4 linked regions of the Sus scrofa genome follow. The protein of the gene in region 2 purifies or fractionates together with the protein of the main gene of each other region. This does not show direct contact. Links are inferred from orthologs where the notes say so. Each region holds a gene or a part of one and is shown on either strand. Other genes may lie near its edges.

What was found. The genes of interacting proteins can lie anywhere in the genome.
Region 1: the proteins of IFT43 (region 2) and TULP3 purify together in Homo sapiens (affinity purification with mass spectrometry; 5 studies listed by BioGRID and IntAct, counting the BioPlex papers as one, with this or other methods). This does not show direct contact. The link is inferred for Sus scrofa from reciprocal best matches to the Homo sapiens genes IFT43 and TULP3.
Region 3: the proteins of IFT43 (region 2) and IFT140 purify together in Homo sapiens (affinity purification with mass spectrometry; 3 studies listed by BioGRID and IntAct, counting the BioPlex papers as one, with this or other methods). This does not show direct contact. The link is inferred for Sus scrofa from reciprocal best matches to the Homo sapiens genes IFT43 and IFT140.
Region 4: the proteins of IFT43 (region 2) and WDR19 purify together in Homo sapiens (affinity purification with mass spectrometry; 3 studies listed by BioGRID and IntAct, counting the BioPlex papers as one, with this or other methods). This does not show direct contact. The link is inferred for Sus scrofa from reciprocal best matches to the Homo sapiens genes IFT43 and WDR19.

Annotation. Positions count from the first base shown.
Region 1 is NC_010447.5:67,206,364-67,211,184, reverse strand, and holds part of TULP3 (tubby-related protein 3), read left to right. Parts: intron 1-1,484; coding exon 1,485-1,618; intron 1,619-1,994; coding exon 1,995-2,192; intron 2,193-4,374; coding exon 4,375-4,487; intron 4,488-4,780; coding exon 4,781-4,821. UniProt on the Homo sapiens protein: Negative regulator of the Shh signaling transduction pathway: recruited to primary cilia via association with the IFT complex A (IFT-A) and is required for recruitment of G protein-coupled receptor GPR161 to cilia, a promoter of PKA-dependent basal repression machinery in Shh signaling.
Region 2 is NC_010449.5:99,156,637-99,162,136, forward strand, and holds the start of IFT43 (intraflagellar transport protein 43 homolog), read left to right. Parts: upstream 1-2,205; 5' UTR 2,206-2,280; coding exon 2,281-2,334; exon of another isoform or gene 2,335-2,413; intron 2,414-3,057; exon of another isoform or gene 3,058-3,164; intron 3,165-5,156; exon of another isoform or gene 5,157-5,229; coding exon 5,230-5,322; exon of another isoform or gene 5,323-5,500. UniProt on the Homo sapiens protein: As a component of IFT complex A (IFT-A), a complex required for retrograde ciliary transport and entry into cilia of G protein-coupled receptors (GPCRs), it is involved in ciliogenesis.
Region 3 is NC_010445.4:40,364,462-40,369,282, forward strand, and holds part of IFT140 (intraflagellar transport protein 140 homolog), read left to right. Parts: intron 1-33; coding exon 34-200; intron 201-1,442; coding exon 1,443-1,584; intron 1,585-4,821. UniProt on the Homo sapiens protein: Component of the IFT complex A (IFT-A), a complex required for retrograde ciliary transport and entry into cilia of G protein-coupled receptors (GPCRs).
Region 4 is NC_010450.4:30,505,198-30,510,018, reverse strand, and holds part of WDR19 (WD repeat-containing protein 19), read right to left. Parts: intron 2,649-4,821; coding exon 2,489-2,648; intron 2,292-2,488; coding exon 2,181-2,291; intron 137-2,180; coding exon 27-136; intron 1-26. UniProt on the Homo sapiens protein: As component of the IFT complex A (IFT-A), a complex required for retrograde ciliary transport and entry into cilia of G protein-coupled receptors (GPCRs), it is involved in cilia function and/or assembly.

The sequences.
Region 1 (4,821 bases), on a different chromosome or scaffold from region 2:
GTTGTAAAAATTAGCAGCAGCATCTCCAAAACTCTTTCATCCTCCCAGACAGACTCATCCCCGTTAGACACTAACCCCTCATCCCCCTTCCCAGCCCCTGGCAACCTCTGGACTACTTTCTCCATATATTTGACCCTTCTGGGTGTCTCATAAAAGTGAAATCATGTGGTATTTGTCCTTTTGTGTCAGGCTTAATTCACTAAGCTAAATATCTTCATTCATTACGATTCATTAATGTCACAGCCTGTGTCAGAATTTCATTCCTTTTTTTTAAGACTGAAAATATTCCATTGTGTGTATAGACCACAGTTTATTCAACAGTTGATAGATAGTTGGGTTGTTTCTACATTTTGAAAGTTGTGAGTAATGCTGCTGTGAACATTGGTTGTGTAAGTATCTGTTAGAGTCTCTGCTTTCTGTTCCTTTGGGTATATACCCAGAAGTGGACTTGCTGGATTATATGATAATTCTGTATTTTTTTATATATTGTTTCCACAGTGGCTGCATAATTTTACGTTGCCACCAGCAGTGCACAGAGGTTTCAGTGTCTCCACATCCTTACTAATACTTATTTTCTAGTGTTTTTTTTTTTTTTTAAATAATGGTCATCCTGGAAGTGTGTGTTGTGGCTCAGTGGTAACTGCGGTGAGCTGTGGTTTAGGTCACAGATGCAGCTCGGATCTGGCATTGTTGTGGCTGTGGTGTAGGCCGGCAGCTGCAGCTCCAATTTGACCCGTAGGCTAGAAATTTGTGTATGCTGCAAGTATGGCCGTAAAAAAGAAAAAAAGTCATCTCAGTGCTGGCAAAGTGGCATCTTATTGTGATTTGTGATTTTAATTTCCCCCGAAGACTAGTGATCTTAAGCATCTTTTCATGTGCTTATTGGCCATTTATGTATCTTCTTTGGAGAAATGCCTATTCAAGTTCTTTACCCATTTTTGAGCTGGCTTTGTTTTCTTGTTGAGTTGTAGGAGTTTATTTAATCTGGATATTAACCCTTTATTAGATGATTGCAGATGTTTTCTCTCAGACATAATGTTTCAAAGAGCTAAATTAGGACAGCAACAGTAGGAAGGGGGAAACAAGGGATGGATCTAGGTGAGATTATGAAGAAAGGATTGTCAAAATTTGGATAAAGTAGCCATGTTTTAAGTCAGAATAGCTTGAAATGTGTTTTTTTTTTTTTTTTTTTTTTTTTTTTTTTGCTTTCTGGGGCTATGGATGTGGCCTATGGATGTTCCCAGGCTAGGGGTCGAATCAGAGCTGCAGCTGCCAGTCTACACCACAGCTCACGGCAACACTGGATCCTTAACCCACTGAGCAAGGCCAGGGATTGGACCTGCGTCCTCACGGATGCTAGTCAGACTCATTAGCCACTGAGCCATGATGGGAACTCCGCTTGGAAATGTTTTAAGCAAGAAAGTTAAAGTTACCTGTGGTTCAGAGGTTTCTGGCCCTTTTTGACGTTTCTCCTTTTCTGCTAGGTATCTCAGGGAGTTTGAACTTTGATGAGGAGGACACTGACGGGGAGGAAGAAGAAGGGAAAAAATTAAGTTCTCATTCACCAAATTCAGAGGCAGAGAGACCCAGTTCTGCATCCAGCCAGAAACCAACCACAGTATGTAGTTCCAACTTTTGCCTTTGGAACGAATGTTAACTGTTTGCTAACATATCTTTGGAATTTCAGTGCCATTACTGAATGAGGGTGGCTTCCAAGATTTAAGCTGGAACTTACACTGAAAGCTCCCAACTCCCTAATTTCTTGTGTCTTGAGCAGCTACTGTGATGCTGTACCCCATTTTAGTACTTTGCTCCTTCATCACTCTAAATATTCATATACTTATTTAGCTTCTCAGAGTTTTCCCTTATTTTGTCAGAAGGCTGAAGACATGTGGGTCAATCAAGAAGTTATTTTGTTCTTTAAGTGTTTCTCAAAGAGAATGTGAGGTTTTCTGACCCAGGCTTCTGTTGCTCACATGTGGCTGTTCTTTCAGGATACAGCAGCTTCTGGGACGGCAGCCCAGCAAACTGATAACCAGCTGGGAGAAATAGACAACTTGGAGGGCTTCGCATACAGCCCTGCCCCTCGAGGTGTCACAGTCAAGTGTCGCATCACCAGGGATAAAAAAGGAATGGACCGGGGTCTCTTCCCCACCTACTATATGCACTTGGAAAAGGATGAAAATCGGAAGGTGCGTGAAGTGATTCTTAAGACAGATCTTGTGGTGAAGGGAGGGTGCTGTGGGATGGGTTTTTTTTTTTTTTTTTTTTTTTTTTTGTTTCGCTTTTTAGGGCTACACCCGAGGCATATGGAGGTTCCTGGGCTAGGGGTCTAATTAGAGCTACAGCTGCCGGCCTATACCACAGCCACAGCAGTGCCAGATCCGAGCCACATCTGTGACCTATACCACAGCTCATGGCAACACCAGATCCTTAACCCACTGAGCGAGGCCAGGGATCGAACCCACAACCTCATGGTTCCTAGTCGGATTCTTTCTGCTGCGCCATGACGGGGACACCCCTGTGGGCCAGGTTGTTGATGGGTCTTAGGAGTGGGGCAGTGGGGGGTATACACCATGTCAAGTGCTGGGTCTTCCCTATATCTTCAAAGAGTTCATGGTCTAATAGTCAGATCTATCCCCACCTCAAAGAAGAAGAGTTTTATCCAGAATGTAAAAAGATGGAAGAGAGTATTTGAGTGTAATTATTTTTAGCTTCGTCCCTTTTTTGGGGTGAGGGGTGTTCCAGCGTGCTCTTTGGTTTTTTTTATTACAGTGCAACATGACATCAGGAAGAAGCAGAGCGAGTTTTAGGGAATTGGAGGAATTGGAAAGAGAGTGAAATAGCTTGTTTCTCACCCTAGAAATTCCAGTTTACTTTATATGTGAATTTGAGGCAATTTAATACTTGCCAGTCAACAAGCATCTTGTATTAATACCAGGTCTAAGTGGATGATTTTAAGAGCCTGGAGATGAAATGATAGCAGGAGTCAGTGTTGTTATAACCACTGTTTATTGAGTGTTTACAGTGAGTCGGGCGTGTGCCAAATGCTCTATGTATGTTAGCACCTAGAAGCCTTATGACAGCCTTCCTCCTTAAGATAAGAGTTGTTAGTCCTGCTTTATGGGTGAAATTGCTGGGACTTCAGCAGTGACATACCTTCTCAGTCACACTGAGAAGTGTCAGTGCCAGATTCAAACTCTGATTCCAAAGTGTTGTCACCTCCCCAGTTGCTGCCTCTCCTGCTTCCCTGTTATTGTCCTAGTCTAATAGGGTTTGGGAAAGATACACAGTATTCCCACCTCTGAAGTCACAGAAGTTTAGAAGCACACCATACAAAATGCAGAAAGAAGCAGGAAAGCAGTTGCAGTGGGGGACGGGAAGCCCATGTCCAGGTCCCACCTCTCCCACAGGTGGAAAGACTCTTACTCAGGAAATTGCAATGAAGCTTTTTCAGAAAAATTATTGGAGGTTTTAGGGATGAAGTTGTAAATAATTATATGGAGAATCAAGCTAGTAAATTGAGAGAAGTTGTGCAGTAGGGAACCCCGATAGTGAATTCTGAGAAGCATTATGAGGGTTGGAAAAAGGGGTAAGGACTCTAGAGACTGGTCTCCAAGAAAAGCCCAAAGGGCAGGCACGCTGATGCTGTGATGGGGCAGCGAGACCCCCAGAGCCTGGGCCTGGAGACAGTGGCCTCCACAATAGCATCTGAGGGGCAAGGCCACAGAGCTGTCAGAGGCAAGGCCAGGGACAAGGAGCAGATGCCCCTCACCAAGCCAGGCTCCCTGGTCAGGGACATGAAGGTCAAGTCTCTGGAGGAGACCCATCCCTCCAGGAATCTGAGATGACTGACTTCTCCCTGGGACGTCCCACAAGGAGGAGATTTGGAAGATTATACTAGAGCAAAGCAGGCGTGCTGGCCCGCAGACCAGCGTCAAGGTGTTTGTCCAGCTGTGGCCACCTCATAGTTTTTCATCTTTTTTTTAGGGCTGCACCCAAGACATATGGAGGTTACCAGGCTAGGGGTAGAATTGGAGCTGCAGCTGCCAGCCTACACCAGAGCCACAGGTCAACACTGGATCCTTAACCCAACTGAATGAGGCCAGGGATTGAACCCTCGTCCTCATGGATACTACTTGGGTTTGTTACCACTGAGCCACAAGGGGGACTCCCTCAGGGTTTTTCAGCAAGGAAAATTAAAGTGAATGAAACCTGTTTTTGGTTGTTTTTGTTTTGTTTTTCTAAGGCCCAGAGATGGATTGCTTGGTACCTGATAGGTACTTGTTGAATACTTGCTGCCTGAATAGGTAGGACAAACATGGCTGTTTCTCTTGAGTTAGTTTTTTACTAAACATTTTTTTCTTCTTGTAGGTATTTCTTCTTGCAGGTAGAAAGCGGAAAAAGAGCAAAACGTCCAACTACCTTATTTCCACTGATCCAACAGATTTATCTCGTGAAGGGGAGAGTTACATTGGCAAGCTCAGGTAAGAGCAGCTGATGTGATGCCCTGTTCTTTCTGATACCTTGATTCATAGTTTTAGAACCATCCATACCGTCTTTACTGTGAACACGTGTTGGTGTCGCCTATGTAAAAAGAAGTTAAAAGGAAATCGAAGGCCCTTCTTGGTTTTAATGCTACATCGCCGAGAAAGCGATGGGAACACTTCGGCCTTTGGCAGCGGGCAGAGAGGCTTCTGTCTGTGACAGACCCTCCTCGATGGGGTTTGTGTAAGAGAAAAACATGGAGCCTTGTGATGACTTTCTCTCTTGATTCTAGATCCAACCTCATGGGGACCAAGTTTACAGTTTATGACCACG
Region 2 (5,500 bases):
ATGGACTTTATATTCTCGAGGTGGAGGTGGGGCAATGGGAAGGCAATAAATGAAATAAATGTGTAAGCAGTGTAATAATGGTAAAAGGTCCATGCCATGGTGGAGAATAAAGCAGGGAAGGAGGAGAGGAAGTGCCTAGGTTGGGGAAATGTTGCAGTTTAAAATCTGAGAAGGCCTTGTGGAGGCCTTTAAATAAATACTTGCAAAACAGGAGGGAAAATTGTTGAAGTTATACCCGCCTGGGCTCCACTTCTAGCAAATCAGAGTTCACATCTGTTTTTAGCAAACTTTGCAGGTGAGTCAGTGCAAGGTTTGGAAGACACTACTCCAGGGCCTCTTTCTGCACACAGTGAGCACCTCTTGCTTTCAGGAAGTCAGGGAAGAAGTAGGAGTGAAGGCTTGGAAAGTGGCCCCAAGGTGGTGATGGTGCAGCTGTGGAAGAAGATAGAAATGGAGTCTCAGGCGTTCCCGTTGGGGTGCAGTAAAAATGAATCCAACTAGTATCCATGAGGATGCAGGTTCGATCCTGGCCTGGTTCTGTGGGTCGGGGATCTGGCATTGCCCTGAGCTGTGGTGTAGGTTGCAGATGCAGCCTGGGTCCCGTGTTGCTGTGGCTGTGGTGTAGGCTGGCAGCTACAGCTCAAATTCAACCCCTAGCCTGGGAAATTCCATATGCTTCAGGTGCAGTCCTAAAATGCAAATAAAAAGAAAAAAAAAAAGTAAAGAAAAGAAAGAAAGAAAGAAATAGAGTCGCTCTTGCTAAGAAAGCTCTCTACAATGGAACTAAAAGGTCACTGGGGGAGTGTGAATTATGTAAGTCTCAGCCTGGATAAAATCTGACCTTTTGACCACTTATTGTCCTAATGAAGGCATCCAGAAGATCTGCCAGAAACTCAAGATACTTATCAGACCCCTACCTTACAATAACTCGTGACAGCCTATCTACTTATCAGACCCTTACTCGGAAGTAACTCGTGATTCCTTAAGGACAAACATTTCCTTTCTCGTAGTAGCAGAGAACAGCCTCATGACTTTTGCCTTTTGTAAGCCCCTGACTCTTTCTTTTCCCTGGAACACTCTTGATTTTACCAGAATCTGTCTCCCAACAATTCTTAAGATAGCCCTCCAATAAAGCTCTTTGTTCTTTGCAGCCCTGATACTGATTATTGTTTAATAGAGCTCACAAGAAATGGAAAAATTCAGGAGTTCCCATGGTGGCACAGCAGGTTAAGGATCCATTGCTGTCTCCGCACGGCCCAGGTCACTCCTGAGGCTCGGTTCCATCCCTGGCCGGCATGGTGGGTTAAGGATCCAGCATTGCTGAAGCTGTGGGGTAGGTTGCAAATTTCAGGGCGATAAGCCCATCTGGGGGTCCAAGCTGGGGTTCCCCAATACCAAGGCCTGGTCAGTAATATTGACCTGGGGGTCTTACAGGGTGAGCTAATGAAGGCTCAACTGACTTTTCTCATTAGGCTGGGAGTTTGAGGGCCATCTTCCTCTGCTGGCCTGGGAGAATGGGTGGCACCCAGGAACACGTGCTAGAGGAAAGTTCTTTAGTAAAATCTGGTGGAAGAAAGGCACTTGGCTCTACTGTTTAACACTCAGGTGATTTTCCTCAAGGCGCCGCCCTGCACCTGAATATTTTTACTTGTTGAATAGAGATACTGCCCTTGATCACCTCAAAGGGTGCTGGAGGGATTATTTGTAGTTTTGAAAATTATGAATACTCAGGTATTGGGTGTGTTGGTTCAGCCTCTCTGTAAACTTCAGGCAGAGATTACATATATCGCACTTTTCATTATAAACCATTTATTAGCACCTGACCCTCTGTGTGCCTGTTTTCTCATCTACCCAGTGGAGACAATACACCTTATCTTGCTTCCCACACAAAGGTGTTATGCCCTTCACATGAGTTAGCAACTGTGACGATCCTCTGTACATTGCAAAGAGCTGCACAAATGGAAGGAATTGGGGTAATCTCTACTGCTAGTAGTAGTGCTTGGCCCTTAACTTATGTATTTGGAACAGATGTAGGCAGTTTCTAAGGACTAAAAGTTTTCACTGTACCACAGGAGCACCCTTAGCAGAATTTAAGATCTGGAGATTTCTTCCAGAAGTCAAACAAAAAAGGTTTAGAAAGATTTGGTTTAAACTGGAGGTTAGCATATCCAAGAACAATGCGGCGGGCCCTTTAAGTAGGGGGATGGAAGGGCGGAGCCGTCGTCAGGGACGCGAGTAGGCCGCTGGGTTTCCAGGAAGTGACGCCAAGCGGCCGTGGAGATGGAGGACGTGCTGGACCTTGGCGAGGAGCGGCGTCGCGGCTCGGCCTTCTCCGTGAGGACCGACTCGGGGGCTTGGGGCCAGCAATTGGCGGGTGGGCAGGAATGACCCCGCCGGCCCCGGCTTCCCTGAGGTGCCTCGGCCCAGCCTGTCCCGGGAGGCGGGAGCTGGCGGGCCCTGAGTCTTGCGGCGGTGGGGTGGGTGAGGCCGGGGAGGAGGTGGCCTCCCTCGTCCCGCCCCTGGGGCAGCAGCTCCTCCGCTGCTGGGCTAGGATTTGCTTTCTTTAAAATCTTCAAAAAGTGGAAAACAGATTCCGCCTCTGCCGGCCTCTGGGACCGGTGGGACATTTCCCAGGTTCTCTCCGCTCCCTGGAGGTCCAGACGCCAACTCCCATAGAATGGGGAGATCTGAGGGTGACGGACTGGAGGGGCCCTGGTCAGGGTCGCACTTGCATTCCTCCTCGAGCTTTACCCTTTAGACTTGTCATGCCAGAGGTTTTTGTGAAAACCGTACGATTTTATTCAGGGAAGGAAAGAAGGCAGGTAGACAGAAGGCAGGTAGACAGGGAGGGCCTTTCTTGCCACTAATTCCCTTGGGGCGGTAGGGGGGCATTACCTCAGTTTTTATAGTTAAGGAAATCAAGAAGCAGATTTATAACGTGGGGGAAAGTCTAGGTGCTGGGGGTGGGGGTGGAGCCCAGAGGTCAGAGGGAGTATAAAGCTGTTGCTTGGGTTAAAAGAAGTTAACCTCCTGGAACCTCAATTTCCTTATCTCTAGAATGGAGATGCTGATACCGACTTTAAGGAGTTGCGGGAAAGATGAAATGAGATGTGTGTGGAAAGCATTTAATACAGTGGCTGGCATGTGCTGAGATATTAGAAGAGGTTAGCTGCTATTGATTTACTCAAGGTTATATGTACATAACAGCTATATTCAAGACCCAAGTTCAGTGTGTGTGTATGTGTATGTGTGTTTTAACTCGTCACAGCCCCATCAAGCCTTTTTACCTTTAAAATTATTGAAGATCGCAGTCACTAACAGATTGGCCCACGGGGAGTTCCCGTCGTGGCTCAGTGGTTAATGAATCCGACTAGGAACCATGAAGTTTCGGGTTGGGGATCCGGGGTTGCAGTGGCTCTGGCGTAGGCCGGCAGCTACAGCTCCGATTCGACCCCAAGCCTGGGAACCTCCATATGCCGCGGGAGTGGCCCAAGTAACGGGAAAAAAAAAAAAAAAAAAAAGATTGGCTCACGGGCAGGTCTTTAGTTTTGCTGTGGAGTCTCTATGAGTTCTGAAGGGCCCCATCTGATGTCCTCTAAGTTACTAGAGGAGAGAGATGAGGAACAGGAGCAAATTGCTCTAGGGCGAAGCGGATTGCTTGACTGATCAAGGAGAATATTAGGTCATCAGACCTTTCGGATCCGTGCACTTTTTTAGTACCTGGGGGTTATAAATGTTCTCATTCATTCATTCTTTCAACAGATAGTTATTGAGCCCCATCTGTGTATCCAGCATTGATTGTCTTTAGGTGCTGAAGATACAAGAGTGACAAAACTTAAGTCCCTGCCCTTATGGGGCTCATGTTCCAGTGAGAGGACAGGCAGTAAACAGACTCTACTTTGAAATATATAAAACCAGAGAGTAGTTTTTCTCAGTCATTCCAGTGGATTTATACAGGGTCTTTGGAATTTTTAAAAACCTTAGACTGTGTGACAGTTATTGGAGAAACCATCTATAAACAGCATTGAGAGGCAAGATCCTTGACTTTTTGTTGGAGCACAGTCACTGCATGTTGTATGCCAGGATCACATACCCAATGTTATGGTAAATGGAAAAGGGCAGCCATAGACAACCCCACAGACAAAGTGGGATTGTCTACCTTGGGAAGAAAATGAGCTGCTTATTGTCAGAAAGGCTGTTTCTATCATCCCTGAAACCAAAATGATTACTTAGAATTTGACATGTAAACATTACATAAGGGTGTTTATGCAGCTCTCAATGTATTGGTGCAGTCAGTTCTTAGAACATCTTAAAACTGAAATTCCAGCAGGGTGTAGAGGAAAGAACTCAGGGTTAGAAGGCAGATGATTCTGCTCTTGGATTTATCTGTTACTTAGTTGCTTTCCTGGATCTCAGTTTCCTCATTTGTAAAAGGCCTCAGTCTCAGTCTCTCTTATTGTGAAGTCCAATGAGATCCAAAAGTGCTTACATTAATGCTGTTTTTTTTTTAAAGCAAAAAATGAGAAATATAAACATTTCAACACCCACTAGTCTGCCTCAATACAGTTTTGTGTATACGCTTGGAGGCCTTTGAGACAAAGCCTGCACCCCAGGAGAGCTTTGGGAAACACCTGCAAAGGGTTCATTTCATGACTCAGAATTTGGCATGTTCTGATTTCCAAAGCTGATGTCTCAAAATTCTTGTCAGTACTTTTTCTTTAATGTCTGTAAGTGCAAATCCAATTAGTGCACACGTCAAAGCAACTGCTATCTGTATTTCTCCGGTTTCAGTTCCCAGAGAATTGCTGCCCCCTCCCCAAAGCCTTTTTGATAACAATTTTCATGCCGAGCTGCAGCTTTGAGGGTAAGCCTTCCTCAACTCCCGCATAGGAAGATGGGGGCCTTGACCGTACTCTTCCCGAGCTGTGGCATGAGGTCGGTGCCCCTTCTAGGGGAGTTTCTAGCTGCTTTTCATGGGCAGGAAAGGTCTGTGGCTGTCAACAGAAAACACGGTGGTCCCCCATGGATTTCCTGTTTTACCATCTAGAACGGACCTCGGGTGCTTTGCTGTAAGGATTGGGGCATTTTCTGAGTTTTCAGTCAAGTTGCTCAAATCCCTTCCTCCCCATGTCACCGTGAAGCCCATGCTTGCTTACCTTTGCAGAATTGTCCTCCTCATAGTGGCTCAGAGACATCTGGGTCAGCAGTGCCCCTCATCTCTCCTTACAGGGGCCCAGGATGGGGCGCCGAGCTCAACAGGAGTCCGCTCAAGCCGAGAACCATCTCAGTGGCAAGACGGCCTCTTCCCCTCTGACTGCAGAGGTGAGTGTTAAAAAGCTCTGAAGAAATGCACTCTAATTGTTAGCGGTTACTCAATGAGCAAGGATTTGGTCTCTCATGTGTTTTTTTTTCTCTTTCTTCTCTTTACTGTCAGCCTCCCTCCTGTCTTGATTGGGGAATTCACTTGCCCGGCATTGGGCCTGTTAGCAAGAAACGGAAG
Region 3 (4,821 bases), on a different chromosome or scaffold from region 2:
GTGGTCCGGGGGTCCTGATGCCTCCTCGCGCAGGTGGAGGTCGATGAGTACCAGAACTACGACAAGGCCCACGGGGCGCTGACCGAGGCCTACAAGTGCCTGGCCAAGGCCAAGGCCCGGAGCCCCCTGGACCACGAGGCCCGGCTGGCGCAGCTGCAGAGCAGGATGACGCTGGTGAAGCGCTTCATGCAAGCCCGCAGGTGCGTCGTCGCCGTCGCTGGGACGCTCTGAGGACGTCCTCAGACAGCTGGACGGCGGCGGGGCAGGGGGAGGGGGGAGGGCAGCCCCGAGGCCGCGCGCCTGCCTGGGCTCTCCGGGCTCCCTCAGAGCCTGGGGCCACTCTCAGAGAGCACGGAGGACAAGGGCCGTGGTTGGGTCGGGAGGCGGGGTCTGGGGGCCGGGCCTGCCCGGGCGCGAGCGGGGCTCGGGCAGGTGCTTCTGGAGGGCAGCGCGCAGGCCGTTTTCAGAGAGGGCCCCCCTGTTTAACCCGACACCCTGCAGCGTGTCGGGGCCCTGGGGCAGCAGAGCGCAGCTCCCGCCTCAACCGCTCAGAGTGCTCTCCTTGTCTGAGGATGGGCGTTTGAAAGAAGAACACGGATGGCAAAGCGGGGCTCCGTGAAGGGTGCTTCCCCGCTGGGATGCGTGGGTTCAGGAGCAGCCGCAGAGCCTGGGCTGCGGGAGGGAGGGGGCAGGGGAACTGGCGGCAGAGACCGCGGGAGGGCCAGAGGGCAGGCCTGCCCCGCCGTCCTGCCTCCACCACCAGCCCCGGACCGAGTCCAAAGCCCTGTTCCCAGCAGGGCCCACACGCACCCCACCCACTGGGCAGGCGGACCACGCATCGTGTCGCCACGCTGGCCTTTGCCCCCGCCTGAGTGTCCCCACACAGTGACAGCCCTGTCCACGCCCTAGCTCCTGCCCCGCTGTCCCCTCTGGCCTGCCTGACGACCCCTGCAGTCCCGAGTCTGGTGTGGCGGTGCCAGCACCCACACTGTGACCAAGCAGTGCGTTGTTTTTGTTTTTGTTTTGTCTTTTTGCCATTTCTTGGGCCGCTCCCGCGGCATATGGAGGTTCCCAGGCTAGGGGTCCAATCAGAGCTGTAGAAGCTGGCCTTCACCACAGCCACAGCAACGCGGGATCCAACCTACAGCACAGCTCACAGCAACGCTGGATGCCCAACCCACTGAGCAAGGCCAGGGATTGAACCCGCAACCTCATGATTCCTAGTTGGATTCCTTAGCCACTGCGCCACGACGGGAACTCCTTTTTTTTTTTTTTTTTTTTTTTTTTTTTTTTTTTTGGCGTTGTTCTTAAGTTAGTGAATTTGTGAGTTGACTGGTTAACGAATTGCCTCAGCTTCAGGGAATCCCCTCCCCGAGAGCCCGCTCTGCCCTCCGACCCGCAGCCCGCGTGCCGGGTGGGGCTCAGGCGTCTTTGCTCCGCAGGATGTACGCCGAGGATCCCGAGGAGGCACTCAGGCAGGGCCAGCTGCTCCTGGAGGAGCTGGGCCCCGACAGCACGGTTCGCCTCGGGGACGTGTGCGGCTTCCTGGTGGAGGGCCACGTGCAGGCGGGGGACCTGCGCACGGTGAGGCTGCGGGCAGCGAGGACCTGTGCACGGCGGGGGGGGGGGGGCTCCACAGGTGCCGCTTTTGTGTTGTTTCCACTTTTGCGAATCTTTTGAGCCTCTGCCAGCGGGTCGAGGACGGCTGGACTCCATCTCCGCTCTGCGTTCACTGCGCTAAAATGGGCTATTCCGGCTGAGATGGGAGCCACGGGATGCAACCAGCTATGGGATGCAGCCCGCAGGGGCGCCCCTGGGTCTTCTTGGAGGCAGAAACCTCTTAGGCTTTCCCTTACAGCCCCGTGGGCTCTCTGGTATCTTCTCCATGGTCTTGGAACACCTCGGTGCTCGTCCGGAAAATACCGGTTCCCTGGTCTGCAGATGCTAGCACGCTTCGGGTTGCTCCAAGCTCCTTGGAAGGGTCTGTGCGTCAGGCAGATGCGGCACCTGTGGGGGCCAGGCATGGTGGCAGGTGTGCGGCGGCGTTGCTGTCGTTTCATTCAGGGCTTCCTTCTGCGGTGTCTGCTCTCATGTTGATCGGGTCCGCATTTTCCATTCCAGCGTCCCCTCTGCCTGCCTGCCTGCCTGTCTTTCTCTACTCTGCTTTCTCTCTCTCTCTCTCTTTTTTTTTTTTTTTTTTTTTTGCTTTTTAAGGCCTCACCCGTGGCATGTGGAGGTTTCCAGGCTAGGGGTCGAGTCAGAGCTGCAATTGCCAGCCTACACCACAGCCACAGCAACACCAGATCCTTAACCCACCAAGAGAGGCCAGGGATCGAACCCAAATCCTCATGGTTCCTAGTGAGATTCATTTCCACTGTGCCACAATGGGAACTCCTTTTAGTTTTTATTTTTATTTGCTAGAACATCCTTTTTGTTCATTTATTAAAAACCTATTTTGGGAGTTCCCATTATGGTGCAGCAGGATCAGCAGCATCTCTGCAGCCCCGGGACACAGGTTCAATCCTCGGCCCGGCGCAGTGGGCTAGAGGACTTGGCGTTGCCACAGCTGTGGCGTAGGCTGCAACTATGGCTGAGATCTGACCCCTGGCCCAAAAACTCCATATGCCACAGAAGGGCCGAAAAAGAAAAAAAATGTATATGTATTGGAGTTTCCTTGTAGCACAGCAGGTTAAGGATCTGGTGTTGTCACTGCAGGTGCTCCAGTCAGGGCTGCGACGAGGGTTCAGTCCCTGGCCTGGGAACGTCCACATGCCACAGGCACAACCAAAAAACCCCCCATATTTTCCTGTATACACTCGATCATAGTTATAATTGCTGCTGTCAAGTTTTTTGCTACTAATTCAAACGTCTGGTTCATATGGAGCTAGTCGCCATTATTTGTCTTTTCTCTTGAGCATAGGTCAGGTTCTCCTATTTCTTTTTATGTCTGATGACCTCTCTGGTGTGCGAGTCCCTGTGGGTGGCTCACAGAGAGCCCGGGTTCCGTGACGTTCCCCCAGGAGTACTTCCCCTTCTTTCTTTCATTAGGCAGCCATCCGGGTTCAGCTCAGTCTCAGTGCGCCCTCCTGCCCCGTGTGAGCAGCCGCTGCGGTCTCCGCTGTCTTTTTGCTCAGGTCCGGCCTCTTGGAGGCACACACGGACTGTGGGTCACGGGGGATCGGGGCAGAGCTCATCCTTGGGAACTGCTGCTTCCTCACACCCCAGCTGAGACGGCGGATGCACTTCTGAGTCTGGTTCTTGCAGCCAGAAATGTGTGGGTTTCCATGTACCTTTTTTTTTTCCTTTCTCCCTACCCCATGGCACATGGAGCTCCCAGGCCAGGGATCAGATCCGAGCAACAGTTGCAACCTACACTGCAGCTGCAGCAACACTAGATCCTTAACCCACAGGAGGTGGAACCTTCGTCCCTGCGCTGCAGAGGCGCTGTCAGTCCCGTTGCACTGCAGCAGGAGCTCTTCTGTGTAGTTTTTCAGCTTCCCACGGTGACCCTGACAGGTGTCTCCTGAGGCAAAAGTTGCGACAAGCATTAAACTCAGCCCAGACACCAGTTCCCCTAGTCTACCTGCCCGTAGTTGTTTTTCAGAACCTTTTATGTTTTTTTTGTTGTTGTTTTTCTTTTTGGCGTCGCACTTGCGGCATATGGTGGTTCCCAGTCTAGGAGTCAAATCAGAGCTGTAGCCGCCACAGCCACAGCCGCATCTGTAACCTGCACCACAGTTCACGGCAGCACTGGATCCTTCACCCACTGAGCGAGGCCAGGGATCAAACCTTCATCCTCATGGGTACTGGTCAGATTTGTTAACCCCTGAGCCACGGGGGGTCTCCAGAGCCTTTTATGTTTTGCCCAGTTTATCACTGTTGTGGGGGAGCTGGTCTGAGGACCCCGCCTTCACCAGAAGACTGTCCTTGTTCTTTTTAATATGTGTTTGTTTGTTTGTTTTTGGAGTGGAGTGATTTGTAGTGTTCTGTTGGTTTCGGGTGTACAGCCAAGTGATTCAGACACACACACACACATATATATACATTCATTCTTTTTCAGAATCTTTTCCCATAGAGATTATCACAGAACATTGAGTAGCGTTCCTGTGCCATGTGGGTCTTTGCCGGTCATCTGGCGTATACACAGCAGTGTGTGTACAGTAATCCCAGCCTCCTAATTTATCCTTCCTCCACCCCTACACTTCTCTCTTGGTAACCATAAGTATTTTTTATCAAAATCTGTGAGCATGTTTCTGTTTTGTAAATAAGTTCACTTGGGCCACATTTTAGATTCCACATATAGGTGATATCATATGCTATTTGTCTTTCTCTCTCTGACTGACTTCACTTAGTATGAGTCTCTAGTTCCGTCCACGTTGCTGCACATGGCGTTAGTGTGTTCTTTTTCATGGCTGAGTAGTATTCCATTGCATGTACCACATCCTCCTAATCCATTCCTCTGTCAATGGACATCCAGATGGCTTCCTTGTTTTGGCTCTTGTGAATAGTGCTGCTATGAACATACGGGTACATGTGTCTATTTTGAGGCGGAGCTATTTAGGGCCGCACCCACAGCATATGAAAATTCCCAGGATAGGGGTCTAATTGGAGCTATAGCTGCTGGCCCACGCCACAGCCACAGCCATGCGAGCAAGATCTGAGCTACATCTGTGACCTACACCACAGCTCACAGCAACGCCAGATCCTTAACCCAATGAGCGAGGCCAGGGATACTAGTTGGGTTCATTACTGCTGAGCCGCGGTGGGAACTCCTGCATGTACCTTTTGTAGTTTTATCTGGATCTGTGCCCAGGAGTGGGA
Region 4 (4,821 bases), on a different chromosome or scaffold from region 2:
TGAAACATATAAAGACAAGGACTTACGTGAATTCAAGCTGAATAGCATATTCTTTTGATATAAACGGTATCTGGTCTGGGGCTAAACGCTTTGCCAGCTGTAGAGCACTGTCCCAGTGCTGTAAATCCCTTCTCATCTATTAGGAAGAGAAAAATGTTAATTTCAAATAGCAAATTATTTTTGCACAGTCACTCTATAGTGCTGGTTTTAATAAAAGTGATTACAGACACTTTTTGTTTAAAAATTAAACTTGATCTTTCCAAAGACAGTAACTTACTATGGCATACATTCCCAATGTAGGTGACAGAGTCCCGAAGGGGTGAAAATTGGGTCTTGGGGAGAAAAACATCTTGACTCTTCCAGGGGTTCATGGCCCTCCCCAACTCAATCCTAAACAAAATCTTATTCTCTTCAGTAATTTTCCTCCATGGGAAAAAATTAAATTGAATTAATTCCATCAACTAAATTAAAATTATTATTTCCTCTTAGTGGGGAGAGCATTAAAAAAAGGTGGGAAAGTCTTTAGGAGTTGATAGAATTTTCTGAAAAAACCTGAACCTATATCGTGAGACAAATAAGGGCAAAATAAATAAAATGGGGTTGTGTCTTTCTCCTTGGCTCCTGAGGTCTTTTATCTGTGTCTGGTACACAATTCCACAGACTAACTCACCATTAAAGAGTAAACCATTAGTCTTTGGGGCTTCACTCCCGGATTGAGTCACCCTTTGCGAAGAATGAACACTGGTTAACGTTTTACCAGTGCTAGTTTCTGCCAGAGTCTGTTCTAAGACAGGAGCCTACTGGCTTTTCACAACCAGGCCTTTTGTAATGAGCTGTTCTTGTGTCCATTTTAGAGATCCAGACACTGAGGTAAAGAGCCTCGTTCTGTACATGAGGTCACCTTGTTTGTGTGTGTGGCAGGGCTGCCAGTCGGGCTTTGCCTCTGACCTCTTTACCCACCTAACTTGTCGGCCTTCAAAGTGAGGTTCAAGGAACGACAGGGTCCAATCACCTCTCCCGCTGTGAAGCTGTCCCCTCAAGTCCCTTACAAATCCAGCAGCACGTGGCAAGTGTCCACAGCCAGTGCAGAAGGGCTAAGGGGACCTGATTCCCCTCAAGTCTCCCTCCCCCAGGGCAGCCGTGTTCCTCCTGTGTGCACCCGGCCAGCTCAGAAAATTCCAGGGCGCCCCCTCAAATGATACTGGAACATCATCTCAACTTTCTTCTTAAAATGCATTTAGTTCCCTTAAAATTTAAAAATGAAAATCTGCCATAGAACAATTTAAAAAAGAGAAACGTGAGGTGAGGAGCACACACGCTTTCCTCTAGGCAGCTGTGGAAATGCTGCCCGAGGTGGAACAAGGTGAGTGACCACGGCCACCATCGCTGGGTCTTCACAGGCCATCAGGAGCTGATCTAAGAGAGCGCATCTCATTCTGAAATCCTCACAACAACCTTGTGGGTTAGATACTGTTACCCCTCCTTTATTTATTTATTTACTTTTTAATCTTTTAAGGCCACACCCGCTGCATGTGGAGGTTCCCAGGCTAGGGGTCCAACGGAGCTGGACGCCAGAGCCACAGTAATGCCAGATCCGAGCCCTGTCTGCGACCCACACCATAGCTCACGGCAGTGCCGGATCCTTAACCCACTGAGGGAGGTCAGGGATCGAACCTGCATCCCTTATGGATGCCAGTCAGATCCATTTCCACTGAGCCACAACAGGAACTCCTTGTTACCCCTCCTTTAAATGGGATCCAGAGCACAGAAAGATGGACTCACTCATCCGAGGCTACACCGAGTTGGGATTTGGGATTTGAACCCAGACATGCCCAATGCTGAAGTCCACGTTCTGATCTGCTACCGCACCCCACCCCTGCGCCCCGCCTCGGTGCTCCTCTTCCCTGCCTGTGCGAGGTCCTCCCCTCGGTCGGGTCCTTCTCCTGCATCCCTCACCCCGAGGAAACTGGTAGTGATACACAGGCCTCTCTTCATGCACAAGAGAATTTTACACAATAAATAAAACACAAATGCACCTCAGTTTTCCCCTTTGGAAAACAGAGAAAGTGACAGTCTGAATTCGAAAAGGAGGGAGGCACATGGTGTTTGGCGCAGAGAGATCTGAACTCCAGAAAAGGGGAGACCTCTTCGCACGTCCCTCCCCGCATTTGCTGCCATACCTCCAGGGCGGCCACGGGGCAGCTGGATGCCAAGTACAGGTCCTGAGCCAGGTTGAAATCACTAGTAAACATGGCAAGATGTCCTGCCAAGAGATGACAGTCCTCTATTCCCTGCAAACAAGAGCAGTCTTAATGAGAAGACATACCACGGTTTGGTTTTTATTTAAGCACTGGGCTTAGGAGGCAGGGGCAGTGGTCCATTAGGGAACCCATCTAGGAGGTACGTCAGATGAACTGCAGAGATTTTAAATATCTGGCTAAATACCATTTGAATGCTCATCTGATAATTCCCATACGATGCTGTTTACCTTTATCTGTTCCAAGGACATGACCATGCCAACGTTTCCGATTGTCCGATACACGCGGATGGCAAACTCTACTTCCATGTGGTATAGACAAGCTCGGGCCAACTCATTCCAGGCGGCATGATCATTCAGAATCTTGCAGACTTCCCAAGCATCAGGAAACCTAGCATATGAGTATATAAGCTTAGTCAGGGAGCTCTATTTTGCCCCCTCTTAGGCAATTTTCAGATTATGTACAATTGTAATGTTGTGCTCTAGATAAATTTTGCAAAAACATTCCTTAATTTTTAATTGTCACTTCCAGGTTATGAAAAACTACCTAAGCTTTCTTTTTTGTGCAGATGTTTTTTTCTTGAATTTCTCGTAACTACTGAAATCCACTCTGTGTAACCGCCTTACCTCATCAGCAACCAATTCTATTTACTCATTTATTTGTTGGTTTACGTCACACAGAGAAAAAAATTACTCCTGTTCTCATATAAGTCTCATAAAATTAGTACTCTATTCCACAGATTTGGAAATTTGAAACGAAGATCAACCAATTATAGCCTGTGGGCCAAATCTAGTCAGCTGCTTGTTTCTGGAAGTAAAGCCTGAGTGGAACACAGCCACTCACCCATCCCCTCTTCACGGCTGGTCTTGCACTACAACAGCTGACCTGAGTAGCTGTGATTGACCTTAAAGCCTGAAACACCCTTTGGACCATAACATGAAAAGCTTGCTGACCTCTGGTGTAAAATGTAACCACAGGAGTTCCCCTTGTGGCACAGTGGAAAAGAATCTGACTAGGAACCCTGAGGTTGCGGGTTCAATCCCTGGCCTCGCTCAGTGGGTTAAGGATCCAGCGTTGCCATGGGCTGTGGTGTGGGTCACAGACACAGCTCGGATCCTGCACTGCTGTGGCTGGCAGCTATAGCTCTGATTCAACCTCTACCCTGGGAACCTCCATATGCCGCGGGTATGGCCCTAAAAAGCAAATAATAAAATGAAATAAAATAAAACATAACCATAAATGGAACCCCTACATTAATGACTATACTACCCTTCCCTGTCTGTTCACTGATGCAAATTTCCATCCAACACACTCACTGAGCATCATCTGGTGCCAGGAACTGGGCCTGGACCCAAGATGTAAAGTCAAAAGCAGTCACTGTCCTTTAGGTGGTTGTACTTGGGGAAGGTGGAAGAGACAGGTAAGTGAACAAATGACTATGACAGGGTATGGCAGAGGTGACAGAGGGCCTACAACATGTGAACCTTTGTGCTAAGCGCTTTGCACACATTCTCTCATTGGATCACCCTAACAACCCTATCTACTAGTTATTATTATTTCTCCTTTATAGGTGATCAAAGTGAGGCCTCAAAAGACCAGCCTGAGTCACGAGTGGTAAGAGGTAAGAGGCTCTAAACCACCCTGCATGCTGGATCCGGGCTCCGAGGCAACACTTCAAAAAGGCCCCAACCCACAGTGCCAGTGGCCGGGCTCGGGGAAGCCTTCCTGCAGCAGCAGAGGGCTCTGCTGCTGGCAGAGGGTGAGGCATTACCCCCACGAACAGAGACAGGGAGGGGCGGTCCAGGACCAGAACACGGCACGTGCCAAGGTAGGAGATCATGAAACATACTGAGTTCCAGCAGCTGGTGAACAGAGAGGAGTGGAGGGGACGGCCGAGGCTGCTATTAAATCAAGTGAGCGGTGTGCCATGCAGGTCCCCAAAGAAGTGGGGGTTTCTTCCTAAAGGCAATGGGAAGTCACTGAAAGATCTTTGGCAGGGAAATAAGTGGATCAGACTCACATTTTTGAAAGTGTGTGGAGAATGGGTTAGCTTGTCATGGGTCTCCCAGTGGAGAGCAGTCAGGAAGGGGTTCTGTCATACGTGGCTCCACGCGAGGGCCGGAGTCAAGGAGTATCAGAGCGGAAAAGGATCTGGGGTGTGTGTGCGCAGGTGTGTGTGTAGGTGCAGAGTATGTGTATGTGCAGGTGCGTGTATGTATGTGTGTGGATGCCGGTGTGTGTGTAGGTGTAGTGTATGTATGTGTCGGGGTAGGTGTGTGTGGGTGTAGGTATAGGTGTGCATGTTTGGGCATGTGCACCATGTGATTAAGGGAGGGGAGAAGAGGAGGCTGGGGCAGATTTTTTTTTTTGTGTGTGTGTGTGTGTGTGTCTTTTTGCCTTTTCTAGGGCCACTCCTGCGGCAAATGAAGGTTCCCAGGCTAGGGGTCGAATCGGAGCTGTAGCTGCCGGCCTACACCACAGACGGCCACAGCAACTCTGGATCTGAGCCACGTCTGGGACCTACACCACAGCTCAGGGCAACGCTGGCTCCTTGACCCACTGA